Linked DNA regions of Arabidopsis thaliana. The protein of the gene in region 1 interacts with the protein of each later gene in a pairwise test. Each region holds a gene or a part of one and is shown on either strand. Other genes may lie near its edges.

Evidence for each region.
Region 2: the proteins of MKK3 (region 1) and AT3G50800 interact in a two-hybrid assay, tested with the Arabidopsis thaliana proteins (one large-scale study listed by BioGRID).

What each region holds. Positions count from the first base shown.
Region 1 is NC_003076.8:16,178,645-16,186,908, forward strand, and holds MKK3 (mitogen-activated protein kinase kinase 3), read left to right. Parts: upstream 1-2,983; 5' UTR 2,984-3,137; intron 3,138-3,490; 5' UTR 3,491-3,504; coding exon 3,505-3,606; exon of another isoform or gene 3,607-3,645; coding exon of another isoform or gene 3,646-3,693; coding exon 3,694-3,948; intron 3,949-4,037; coding exon 4,038-4,256; intron 4,257-4,354; coding exon 4,355-4,492; intron 4,493-4,590; coding exon 4,591-4,758; intron 4,759-4,769; exon of another isoform or gene 4,770-4,835; coding exon 4,836-4,949; intron 4,950-5,212; coding exon 5,213-5,320; intron 5,321-5,410; coding exon 5,411-5,869; 3' UTR 5,870-6,003; intron 6,004-6,005; downstream 6,006-8,264. Other genes in the region: AT5G40450 (A-kinase anchor-like protein), read right to left, coding at 6,155-6,598, 6,712-6,837, 6,920-7,024, 7,136-8,264. UniProt on the Arabidopsis thaliana protein: MKK3-MPK6 module plays an important role in the jasmonate signal transduction pathway through the negative regulation of MYC2/JIN1 expression. Activates by phosphorylation the downstream MPK6, MPK7 and MPK8.
Region 2 is NC_003074.8:18,879,893-18,885,915, reverse strand, and holds AT3G50800 (uncharacterized protein), read left to right. Parts: upstream 1-2,882; 5' UTR 2,883-3,013; coding exon 3,014-3,472; 3' UTR 3,473-3,804; downstream 3,805-6,023. Other genes in the region: AT3G50790 (esterase/lipase/thioesterase family protein), read left to right, coding at 3,976-4,359, 4,437-4,565, 4,714-4,845, 4,928-5,070, 5,149-5,246, 5,346-5,440, 5,523-5,576, 5,651-5,842.

The DNA.
Region 1 (8,264 bases):
ACCATGGGCCAAAAAACCAAAAAAGTACACACTATAATTAGTTAGATAATTGGATGTAATTAAAGATAGTACTTTAGATATTGTTCTAATTTTAAGATTTTGAGATGAGGAGTTATACAATATCAACTTGAGGATAAAATAGACATTTATATTCTTAAATTGTAATAAATAATTATGAAATTATAATGATTTATGAGAGCGTTTGTGTTTAAAAGAGAAAATTTGACATATTACAACACGTGTCATACATGTCATGAATTTATTTCTGTTAGATAAAATTTATTTTATTTTCTTGAGCACTGAAGATAGTTTTTTAATAATATATTTAGGTTGAGTCCATTAATACTTGAATTTAAGTACTCAATTGTTTAGACTCAACTAGTTCTCAATTCACCATCCATAGAAAACTCGTTTATTTTAACATTTTTCCTATGAAAAAATGCCAACCATATTATGTTTTTTAATTATTAAAATAGTATAATTTCTCGTTAAACATTTTGATAAAGTAACGTTCGTATTTTCAGAAATAACATATTTTATATTCCTTTAAAAAACAAAGATTATAGTAAAGAACATTAAATTAACTAATAACTACTCTACTTTTCCATAGAATACTAAATTCCTACGCTTTCTATTAATCTTTAGTGTTTTTACCGCTAAAGATATCACTATATCACTTTGTCAAAAAATCTCAATTTTCCATACATACAAAAAGATTATGTTTAGAAGTCATCAAATCCATAATTTGGTTCACTTAAATACAAGTTGGTGATTATTTGATTTTGTTCGATTTAATGTCATTTTGGTTTCATTTTGTTTTCTAAAATCAGTTCAGTGTTGGTTAAAATAATATAAAATACTTCTAAATAATAATTCAACCATAATTATATAAAAGCAAGAAAAAAAATTCTGAAATTAAATTTCAAATTATTCTAGGCATGTTCTCCAATGTGGCTGCATCCGTCTTGTTGGTTCAAGATGAGTGCTCTTCTGTTAGGTCCTCTATCTAAACATCTTCAACTCCATTTCGTGGATCGATCACCCAATCCTTCCCAGCTGATCCGTATTTTAGTGGTCCTTGTCGCCGACGAGAAGTTTAGTCTAGTTTCTCCATGGTTTGTGTAGCTATTGAGATGTTAACTCTCATGCTTTCAGCCTCCTTTTCGCTGTCTCTATTTGAGCTGCTCATGTCTCCACACTACCTATGAAGTCCGATCTCTACGACTTTGGTGTGAGCTACCCCCTCAGACCTCCAGATCCGCCCCCTCAGGCCCCAAGTTGACCATTCGTTCCAATTTGTGGGAGTTTTCTCCGGTGTTATGACCTATGGTCCTTCCTTTTCTACCACCTCACCTAGCAGCATCTCCTCCATTCACCCTTGTTTGGATAATGATCTTTGTGTCTTCCACTTGCCTCCTTGCGATCTATTATTGTTGTGTGCAGTTCATGGTACTAAATCTTTCCTCTAGCGCATATGTGCAATTAACTGGATACTTCTCTGGTTTATCTTTGTTTGCATTTCAGGCTAGTCTACTTTGTTTCTAATCTAGAATCACCTTTGTTAGTTTATTTTCTGTCCAAATTTGGCAGAGTTTGTTCACCGAATACTTCTTTAGAATCTTCGTGTCTAGGGTTAAGAAAAATCAAACTTTTGCCTAGATCCATCAAAATTTGCTCACCCTATACATCTCCAGCGTCTCCATGCATATGTCTACGGTTGATCCTTCTTGGGTGCATCATCAGAGATCCTTTCATGGTGCAACGACCACCTCCGCCTCACTGTTGAATGAATGGGAGAGAATGAGTATTATTTTCGTCCTTCATCTATGGTGGAGAAATATCTCTGATTTTGAAAACAAATTAGAACCGAAGAGACTTTGCACAAGTTTTAAACAGTTTTGGACACTAACGATTATATGCTAACAAAATATATAATTAGTAAATTTTAAGTTTTGAATATAATTTACGAATATTTTTTAATCCATGAAAAACTTTAAAGAAAATATCTTATGTTGACTTGACACTTTATGAGTCTAATTAAAAATGTACATACAAGTAACATCATAAGTAATTTGATTCCAGAACATCAAGAACCAGGTTTCAGGTTTCACACTTTCGCCCATCATGAAAAGTGGACAAAAATCAAATATTTTATTTGGCATGTTTTGCTTTGATTCTTTTTGAATGAATGTTATTCATCCTAAAACATATTTTGTATAATAAATGTAACCTTATACTTTTTTCCGCCAATGTAACCTTATGCTAAAAGTTCAGAACGTTTATAAATAAAAAGACACCAAAGACAAACAGTAGGGCCTTCAAGCACCAAAGACAAACACTAGGGCCTTCACCAAACCAAATTCTTAAGACATCCTCGAATTTGGTTGTGGTTTCCTTTTGACTTGAAAGTCTGTTCTAGAGTTCGGACGATACGCTCAATGAAAGAAGACATGAGTGAAGGAGACAAGTTTTGTTCCCCATGTCTACGTCTAGGTTTATTTCTTTCGGACCATATGGAATGCACACAAACTTGGAACACATACCGTACGAGGTAGTAAACTGACTTTTATGTTAAAGATGGTTTATGTAATTATGTTACTTTAATTGTTAAATAGTTTTTACGTTTCCATGAATTGGATCAAACGTAATCAAGTAAAAAAAAAAACCTATACTTATAATCCTTCCTTGTTTCATTTGATTTCCTTGCCTTTAAACCACAATATTATTTCTTTTGAGTTTCATTGATGGTGTCTCAATTGTAAATTGGGGTTTAGGGACATTATACAGATGGTTGTAAATTCCTGGAACTGACTGAGAAAAAATAAACTTATGGGCCTGGAGGAGATAGTTGTTGGGCCACTTCTTAATATATATTGGCCCACGAAAACACAATTAACTCTTCGTTTCAAATTTACAAACTAAACTTCGTGCTATCTAATACTTTTAAAACGGCACGTAATTTAGTTTTCAAAACATAGAACGACACAGGGTTATTGTCGGAGTTGCTTCTTCAGAGAGAAACATTAGAGAGGGGTGTTCATCTTCCACATCTCAAGGAGACACCCAAAAAGAAAAACCAAACCTTTGAAGAACGAAAAGGGTTATTAAAAAAGCAACAAACTTTGAGAGTAACAAAGGTAAGTTTTTATCTGTAATTCTAAGAGTTATATCATTTTGGTTTTGTATGATTTTTTTGAATTTGTGAATTTGATCCGTTGATTTAATTCTGAATTTTCTACGATTAGTTCACTGTTATGTTTTGTGAATTATAACTGTTTTATTGACTAATCACGACTTTGAATCCAATTCTATTGAAGGGCTATAAGAAAAACTGAAATTAATTTATAGAAACTTGAAAATTTTGGGGACTTTTCATGTTTTGTTAAGTAAGAAATCTTCTTTTTTAGCTAAATTAGTTTCTTCTAAATAGAAAGTTTTCGAATTTAGAAAAAGGTTGGGGTTTTTTCATTGACTCTTGTCTGTGTTACAGAAAAAGTAGTTATCATGGCGGCATTGGAGGAGCTAAAGAAGAAGCTGTCTCCATTGTTTGATGCTGAGAAGGGTTTTTCTTCATCTTCATCTTTGGATCCAAACGATTCATATTTAGTAAGATTCCTGTGATTTTCGTTGTTAAGAAGTTTTGTTATGTTTCTGGTTTGTTTACTTTTATCTTCTTTTTGTTTGTTTGTGAAGTTATCTGATGGTGGGACTGTGAATTTACTTAGTAGATCATATGGAGTTTATAATTTTAACGAGCTCGGGTTACAAAAATGTACATCTTCTCATGTGGATGAGTCTGAAAGTTCCGAGACGACGTATCAATGTGCTTCTCACGAAATGCGGGTTTTTGGAGCTATAGGAAGCGGAGCTAGCAGCGTTGTTCAACGAGCTATTCATATCCCTAATCATAGAATTTTAGCGTTGAAGAAGATTAATATCTTTGAAAGGGTAATGTTAATCTCTTTTGCTAGTTTAAAGAGAAAAATGTGACTCCATTTAGTATGTGTTTTTGAATATGTACTGATTTTGGTGAGCAGGAGAAAAGGCAGCAATTGCTTACAGAGATACGGACATTGTGTGAAGCTCCTTGTCATGAAGGACTTGTGGATTTTCACGGAGCGTTTTATAGTCCAGACTCGGGACAAATCAGCATAGCTCTTGAATATATGAATGGAGGATCTCTTGCTGATATTTTAAAAGTAACAAAGAAGATACCTGAGCCGGTTCTTTCATCATTGTTCCACAAACTTTTGCAAGTAAAGATACTTAACTCTCTCTATAATGTGCAACATATATATGCGTTATGTTTTAAGTGTATATAAATTCATTCTTAGTGATGTGATTTCATTTTAAGGGATTGAGCTACTTGCATGGAGTGAGACATCTTGTTCATAGAGACATTAAACCTGCTAATTTGCTTATAAATCTCAAAGGGGAACCGAAGATAACCGATTTTGGCATAAGTGCTGGCCTTGAGAATTCAATGGCTATGGTTAGTGATTGTATCTCAGTCTTTCACTCCTTATTAATCCAGTAATCCTTTTTTGATGAGTTTTTAACTTGTATTATCTGAAAATGATGGTTGCAAAGTGTGCTACTTTTGTTGGAACTGTCACCTACATGTCACCAGAGAGGATAAGGAATGACAGTTATTCTTATCCAGCTGATATATGGAGCCTTGGTCTCGCTCTTTTTGAATGCGGCACTGGAGAGTTTCCGTATATAGCTAATGAAGGGCCTGTTAATCTTATGTTGCAGGTTAATCAACTTGTCCCCAAATCCTTTCTTCCGATATATTATTTATATTTACACTAATTACTGTTATGTGAATGAAGATATTGGATGATCCTTCACCAACACCACCAAAACAAGAATTCTCACCAGAGTTCTGTTCCTTCATTGATGCTTGCCTCCAGAAGGATCCAGATGCTCGACCAACAGCTGACCAGGTTGGTAAAACTGAAATGTCATACATTTACCAGTCTAGTACTTTACTGAAATAAGTCATTTTTAGAGCAAATTGTGGTTAAAAGTTTGGTGCTTCTCTTAGTATTCGTCTGTTTGTTAGAAGTTCGATGCATTTCTTTGTATTTATTTGTTTTAATACAAGTCTGGTTAAGAATTGGATTCTTTCTGTTGAATTTATTAGATAATTCCTATAAAGCTTTGCTTTGATTCAAGTCTGATGGTGTTTCCTCTGCTACTTGAACAGCTCTTGTCACACCCTTTTATTACAAAACACGAGAAGGAAAGAGTAGATTTGGCGACTTTTGTTCAAAGCATCTTTGATCCAACTCAGAGATTGAAAGATTTAGCTGATGTAAGTATATGATGATCTTATCAGACTTTTCTTAGTTCGAAAATACCAAATTAAAGTTAACATTAATGATCTTATTGGATTTTTGTTCAGATGCTCACCATACATTATTACTCCCTCTTTGATGGATTTGATGATCTTTGGCACCACGCAAAATCGCTCTACACTGAAACTTCAGTTTTCAGTTTCTCTGGGAAACATAACACAGGATCAACTGAAATCTTCTCAGCATTATCAGACATTCGTAACACATTAACAGGAGATTTACCGAGTGAGAAACTTGTTCATGTCGTTGAGAAGCTTCATTGCAAACCTTGCGGCAGTGGTGGAGTCATAATTCGTGCTGTTGGATCGTTTATTGTTGGAAATCAGTTTCTGATCTGTGGTGATGGAGTCCAAGCAGAAGGGCTTCCGAGTTTCAAAGATCTTGGCTTCGATGTCGCAAGTAGACGTGTTGGCCGATTTCAAGAACAGTTTGTTGTTGAATCTGGTGATCTTATTGGAAAGTATTTTCTTGCTAAGCAAGAGCTTTATATTACAAACTTAGATTAGATAAACACACATGAGAAAACGTTTGTTCTCTACTGTACTATAATGTAACTATGAACTTGTTTAATTACTAACATATGTAATTGTATTTGTTTAAGGTTCATAAAAAGTGCCGGAGAGAATTAGCCAATGATCAGGTAAAAACAAATAACCAAACCAATTTATTGAACATGTGAAAAACCCCACAAACAAATCTGTAATATTCACATATTACAAACCAATAAAAAAAATAACAAACCAATAAAAAACCTTTTATAGACACTGATTGTGTTTTTCTTGTTTCTTCACTTATGTAGGTGATGAAGGCTTTGTTGTGTGAGAAGATTTGCCAGTGAGTACTTTCTTGACCTTAGAAATTGAATGCTTTACCTTTGAACCAACACCAGAGAGAATGCCGTGAGATTTCTTATGAGTCTTGACAATGCTTACTGTATCTTTAGCTTCAACCATCACTATTGAATCTGGACTTGTTTTATCATCTTTATGTTCATGATCTTCATCATCATTCTCATCTTCCTCTGTTTTAGGCTCTTTTTGGATGTGGTCAGATAGTGATTTCCTTGCCGGTTCTTTCAATGTTGGTTCAGTTTCTTTTACTACTGAAAACAAATCTTTGGTGTTCTCAGATTCTTCATCTTTTTTCTGTAGTTCTTCTTCAATCTTTGAATTCTCCAGGCTTGGAACTTCATTGGTTATTTCCCTTTTCTGTTGGTTTGGAACTTCATATTCTGGCTGCAAAAAATGAAAATAAGCTTTTGTTTTCAGGACTTGTGACTTTGAAAGAATTTGTGTCCATTACTTATGGAAAAAGCAGGATAATGATACCAAACCAAAGTATATTGTACCTCTGGTTTGTCTTGTGTTTTGCTGACGGAAGACAAGCTTTCAATATCCCGAATTTCGGGTTGTGTTTTGTCTATCGCATCATCAGTTTCCTTCACATTGTTGAAACTTTCTTGATTTATTTCCTTCTGCAAAAACATGGTTTCTATGATTTAGATATTAAACGAGTATGAAAACAAAAGAAACACTGAATAATGTTCAGGTTCATACCTCTTCTTCTCTGATCTCTTCCTTGACAATATTTGTTTGCTTACCCTCCTCTTGCTCTATCTCTTTTGCAGCTTCGTGATCAATATTTTCAGATGTGTTGTTCTTCTGCGTTGCCAATATCACATTAAAAATTTCGGTCAGCAACAAATGATAATTAGTAAAACCACAGCATCTAAGTTAACGAAATCACCTATGTTTCTTTGCTTTAAATATTACCTCTTCTACGGAAACTTCATGTTTGATTGCATCTTCCATCTCTGCCTTGACATGTTCAACCTCTCTCTTCTCCTCTATTGAGCTAGTTTCTTCCTTTTGTGCTGCAACTGAATCATGGCCATCACCTTTTATTTCATCATCAGGAACTTGCACTTTAACATATGTACCAATATCTTCTTGGACATCGGTGAGATCATTCAACTTGTGTTCTTGTTCTGATATCTCTTTCTCTATTGCAGCAGCCTCAAAATCTTCCTTGGGCTGATCTTGCACTTGCACGTTCGTAATCAAAGCATCAACAGTTTCCTCTTTTTTATCTTCTTGTGCCTTGTTGAATTCAAATGATGTTTCTTCCACCTGATTGGGAGATTGATGAGACTGAATGAGTTCACTTAGATTCTGTACTGGAAGATCTCGGTCAGCAAAGTTCGTCACTGCTTCCGTGTTACTGTTCTCTTGAATATCATCTAGTACTTTTGAGGATGGAACCTTAAGTTCCTCGCCTATTGCTTCTTTAGGGACAGTTTCATCAGCACTAACCTCGTCGCTCTGATCCTTTGGTGCTTGTTCTGTTGGAAAATCCCTATCATCATTGCTCTTTATATCATCAACAGGGTCTTCATGCTCAGCTTCACTAGCTTTCTTGATGACTCCCACTGGATCTGAAATTTGCTTCTCTGATGCAACTACCTCATTCATCTCTTCTTCATTCTCCAGTGCATTGTGAGGTACTTCCTCTTTTTCCCCATCCCGCGAAACAAAATCATTACCAACTTCAAGCTCACGCGCATCTTTGTTATCCTTTTTCACTTCTGATGAAACAATTTCCTGTTCCTCATCATCCTTCTTTTTGTCTTTGATATCAACAATTTGATCTTCTTCTTTAACAGTTTCATGAGTCTCGTCCTTCTGCTCCTTCTTAGATGTTTCAAAATCTTTGAGATGCTCTACTTGGAGACTTATCTTCTCTGATGTTGAACCATTGAAATCTTGTTGTGGCTCACGTTCTTCTTGCTTTTCATCAGAAATCACATGCTCTTGCTCCTCAGCAGACAATGGAGAAGATGAAATCAGAATTTCCTCTCTAGGTAACACTTGTGCAATCTCCCTAGTTTCCTCTTGTACCTTT
Region 2 (6,023 bases), on another chromosome or scaffold:
GTTCTAATGGTATATGAAACTTCCGAAAGGGACACAGGTCGTTTACCCCATTTTATTACTACAAAGTTACAAAATATTTAGGTAATGATTCATTAACATATCATAAATAAGATCAACATTAATAAAATAAATGAGTTTTTTTACGGGACGGGTTTAGCAAGACGTTACTTAATAACAATTGTAAACTATAAAATAAAAATATTTTATAAATAGATACAATTTATAAACTTTTATATATACTAATTTTAAAAAATAAATTGTTCCCGCGTTATTCCACGGGTTAAAATCTAGTGTGTATACATGTTTTTTTTTTTTTTAGGTTTCAGAGATGATTTAATTTTTATGAAAAATGAATTCAAGGTTAAACAAATTATATACATGCATGTTTAAATCTTCTTCTTTTTGGGGGCCAAACATGTTTAAAACTCGAAAATTGACAAATTTATGTTTCCATTGTCGGATCAATTTCCTTTGGATGATCAATGGGAAAACGACGAGTATGTGTATTATATGGTTGGATTGATTTTTTGTACTTTTGTTGTGTGTTTACGAATATAAACAAGTTTCAACACCCTGTAATTTAAAATAGGTTAACGCGACAAGTAGAAATAGTTTAATGCCGTTTCACGTGGAAATTAATAATTGTAATTTATCGTGTTTTTTATTTTCCAAAATTTTCTTTTATGAACTGTCGTCCATGCGATTGAGTAACTAACTATTGAAACATGTAATAACATAAACAATTTTATAGTCTTTAACCAAAAAGATCCAATTCTATTGGCGTGGGACAGCACATATATAACACTACAGAATGCAAATAGAATATTACCTCTTAAACACTCAACTAATTAACATCTCATATCAATAATGACAATGATTTGAATAAATTTTTATACTATCCAATTTATATATAGTTACTGCAAATCGTAACATTCACTGATCATCAAGTATCAAGAGATCGTAGTCAGTAGGTTTCGTACGCGTGTGTATGATTGACACTGAAGATCTCCTTAGTCTTTTTCTGAAGAATTTATATCTTATTATTGTTATTATCCAATCTCATGTTTATTTTACCTCAAAAAATGTTCGCGATTCAAAATCAACAACGTTTATAACCATATAGACAAAAAAAACAGCTGGAGGGTTTCAAAATTAAAATGTTGTGTTTGGTTACAAAATATTACACACATATTCAACTTTTGATACTAATAACAAAATACTTAAAAAAAGACGAAACTCTATATTAAGAAAAAAAGTTTTGGGAGGTTCTTCTCCGCTAACATGCTCTTTAAGGATACTCTCTGCCAAGTGGCTTTGGCATGCTCATTCTTGCTGACGTACTCCGAGACAAACCCTCTCCATCAGTTTGTTTATGGAGAATTTTCCTCACAACTTTCTCATATGATCTTATCCGCAAATTTGTTATCGAAAAACCCGACCGACCTTTTATTTCTCACCACTTTGGACCTCAATTACTCATTTATAATAACTTTATTTTTTATATGTAACTACACTATCTTATAGTGTTCATTACAAGGAATCCAAAAACTCCATAATCCGGTCATTTCGGTGACGGACATCAACGGAAAAGTCACCGGAAAATTGGCCGGAGTCACATATGTAAAATTGAGTTCCAACAGTTAACTCTCCAGAGATCGAACCATCGTACGTGGTCTATATTTATAAACGTCAATAATTGTTTTTTATATAATAAAAGTGTCATGGTAGGTTAAATAATTTACGCCATATTAGTAATTAATTAGTGGCTAGTCAAATTCTGTTCCATAAAATATAATAGTATGAACACACATTATTGTACTGTATTCATCAATTGGGACTAGTTCTTTCTGATGATCATATATAAAGGACAGCAGAAATCGGACAAAATCAGTGTTATTGTCTTCATTTATCATACGCACAAACTAAAAAATAAAGTTTGGCCGAAACGTGGGTGTTCCTAATCCCAAACATATATGAAAAGCAGAGAATATACTATATCTACTTTAATCGTTACATTAATGTTAGTTTAACTAAAATAGGTTTCTTTTGAGAAAAAAAAGTATAAAGTGGTAGGAAATAATAGAGGTTCATAACTTCATATAATTGAAGCTTATGATTTGATATATTGGTTTGGTTGTTACACAAGTATCCGACTTTAGATACTACAAAACAATTCTAAAAAAAAAAACTTCAACGGAAAGCGATATTCTTCAACAAATCAATCCTACTTAAAATATTTAAAATGTAACAAAAAAAAATTCGATACAGCGTTGATGGACCGTAATACCATATCGACACACAATAATTTCGAGTTGAATTCACATTATTGATGCACACGTTCATACCCAAATTAAATTAAACTAAAACTAATGAATGATGCACGTATATAGACTTAAAGACCCGAATCTCTCGTTAGGTGACCGGTGACCCATGCAACCGAATGAATCTAAATGGGACCATTAGACCGGTTTGGTCCCTACCCATGCTTAGTCTTATTGGCCTTCACGTGAGGCTCCATAAGCCAAGCTTCATGCACCCCATCCGCCGGAAATTAAACCTCCGGCCACCTAAGCTTGTCTGCTTTCTGATTTTGTCCCAAGTCTCTAATGTTTGCACGTGGACACTTTCTTCCTTTCTTCTCTCCTTCTTCGCCACGATTTCATCTCCAATTTTCCAAATCTACCCCTTACATTAACCAATCTAAATTACTCCTTCTAAATTGCATGATGAGGGTATATTTGTAGTTTCAGTAAGACAAATAATATTGCGTGAGCTGTGTCCTGTCTGATTATGAACACTAGACGACAAAAACCTAACGTTACTTGAAGTTTCCGAATCACGAGGCTCACTCATTCTTCTTCTTCTTTCTTCTATATATATATAAAGCCCCACGAGTAGTTTGTATCTCTTTCAAACACACAGACGAGATCTTCTCTCTATCTTTCTCTATCTACAAACTTTCTAAAAGTCACGAGTCAACTCAACGAGTTACGTACAAAGAAGTACTAAAACAATGGGAGCTTGCGCTTCACGTGAATCTCGGAGAACAGAGACGGCGAAGCTGATATTACCAGACGGAACATTACAAGAGTTTTCAACGCCGGTGAAAGTGTGGCAGATTCTTCAAAAGAATCCTACAAGCTTTGTTTGTAACTCCGACGATATGGATTTCGACGACGCCGTTTTAGCTGTCCCTGGAAGCGAGGATCTTCGACCAGGAGAATTGTACTTCGTTTTACCATTAACATGGCTTAATCATCCATTGAGAGCAGATGAAATGGCGGCTTTAGCGGTTAAAGCAAGCTCTGCGCTTGCGAAAAGCGGTGGAGGAGGTTTGAGTTACAACGATGAAGATGTTGGTGAGTGTAGAGTTAGAAGAGTTAAAAGAAACGGTTGCGGCGGAAGAGGTTGTGGTGGTGGTGGTAAAGGGAGGAGAAAGTTCACGGCGGAGTTGAGTTCAATAGCTGAGTAGAGGGGTTAAATTGGTTAGTCAATGTGTAAATTTTGTAAATTGTAATTAGAAAATTTGACTTTTACATAATTTTTACCATAAAAAATATAAAGTTGATTTCGTTATTTAATACAACTAATACATAGAAATGACCAAATTGGGAGACTTTCACGTGGATGAAGTGTTCAAAAGCTACTAATAAATTGCATTTAGTCATTTAGTGGTAAAAATATCAAATCCTCTCTGGCTTTTCTTGGTCAACACCGCGTAATGGTTACATGAAAGACACAGTGTACAGTTGCAAAAAGTGGGGATAAAAGCCCAAGGCCCATTGTTCCTACGGGCATAGCCGCATAGGGTTGAAAAATGTAGTCGCTGTAAGTAAGGATGATTTTGTTATAATAATATATTTCAAGGGCTTTGATTGCAAATTAGTTTAGATTTCCCGACCACATAAATGTTGCTTTGTTTTTTCGGTTAGGCAAATTCGTTGTGGTTACCAAAACGACGACGTGGTGAAGCAAATGGCGAGAGTCGCCTTTGCCACATCATCGCCGCCGTTAATCTCATCAGTTCGTACTCTCCGCCGTCATTTCTCAGTTTTCGCCGCCGCGAATCCAGAAATGTCTCGTCCCTCTCACCACAGCTCTCTCGAAGTTATCGGCGGAGGAAGTGATCGTTTCTTACCGTCGTTAAAGGACTCACTCGCTAAACCGTACAATGCGTTTCCTCTAATCGGATTTAACCGCCACGTGGAGACAATCTACGCATCTTTCTTTCGTTCTGTTCCTTTCGTTAGACTCCGCCGTGAATGTCTCCGAACTAAAGACAACGGCTCTGTTGCTTTGGATTGGGTCGCCGGCGAAGATAGGCACTTTCCTCCTGATTCACCAATCCTCATTTTGTTGGTAACACTCAACATTTCAAAAATTCGATTTTGATTTTGTATTGAGTTTAAAAATCAGAACTTTAAAAAAATGTGTAGCCAGGTTTAACAGGAGGAAGTCAAGATTCGTATGTTAGACATATGTTGTTAAGAGCTCAAAGTAAAAAATGGCGTTGTGTTGTGTTTAATAGCCGTGGTTGTGGAGATAGTCCTGTGACCACTCCTCAGGTTTTGATCTTTCTCTGCTCTTTCTTGGTTCATCTTAGATTCATAAAGTAGCTTCCTTTTTGTACTGTTTCATGGTCTGGTGATGATAGATGAATAGTGCCAATTAGCTTCATTTTGTTACTGAAGTATTATGATACTGCTAATGCAGTTCTACTCGGCTTCGTTTTTAGGAGACATTGGTGAAGTGATTGATCATGTTGTTGATAAATTCCCAAAAGCCAATTTGTATGCTGCTGGATGGTCTCTTGGAGGCAACATTCTTGTTAACTATTTGGGTCAGGTTAGTTATTTTCTTAACCCATGAGTTTGGAAATTTATGTAGGAGATATTACCAAGTTCTTATCTTTTTTAGTTTGTTGCAGGAATCTCATAACTGTCCTCTCACTGCTGCTGTTTCTTTGTGCAATCCTTTTGATTTGGTTATAGCAGATGAAGATTTCCATAAGGGTTTTAACAATGTTTATGACAAGGCCTTGTCGAAATCTCTTCGTAGAATATTTAGCAAGTAATTGTTCGTTGTCCACATCCGTCTTATCTTCTTGCCATTTAGTTATTGTCACATCACTAATTCATCTTTATGCAGACATTCTCTTCTTTTTGAAGACATAGGAGGTGAATTTAACATTCCTTTGGCTGCAAATGCTGAGACGGTTAGGGATTTCGATGATGGCTTAACCCGAGGTTAGCTTTGTCAACATCTACTTATATCTTCTCCTTGATACTTTGAGAAGACAAGGGCATACAGCTACAAATCATTTGTTTCTTTATTTCATGTAACAGTCTCGTTCGGTTTCAAATCAGTAGATGAGTACTATTCCAAGTCGAGCAGCTCCAAAGCTATAAAACATGTCCGCATACCCTTGCTTTGCATTCAGGTGAATTCCTGAACAATGAGTGATGAACCCATAAGCTTAGAATCTGTTTTTTCTCATGTTCATTTGTTTATATGATATGCAGGCAGCAAATGATCCCATTGCTCCTGAGAGAGGTATCCCTCGCGATGACATCAAGGTAAGAGATGAATGATCATTCATTTACACGAAAATCATATGATTTTGAGTCTATCTAAGAACTAGAAGTGTCAGGCAAACCCAAACTGCGTGTTGATTGTGACACCAAGAGGAGGGCACTTGGGATGGGTGGCAGGTGAAGAAGCTCCCAACGGAGCTCCTTGGACCGACCAAGTGGTTATGGAGTTTCTGCAACATGTAGAGAATCGTGAAACCATTAACGGGGAGAGATCTTTCGAGGATGTCCATGATCAGATTCAAGTCTAATTCTGTTTGTCCATTCTTCACTTGGAGTGGTATGTTTCACTTGTACACTGTTGTTGCGCACAAGAATAATAAACATGTAAAGAATCATAGTATATAAGACTTCTTGCATTTCCTCCTAATATAGATGATACTATCTTCAAGTTCCTTAGTTACATTCATGACCTCATACCATACGTTTCCA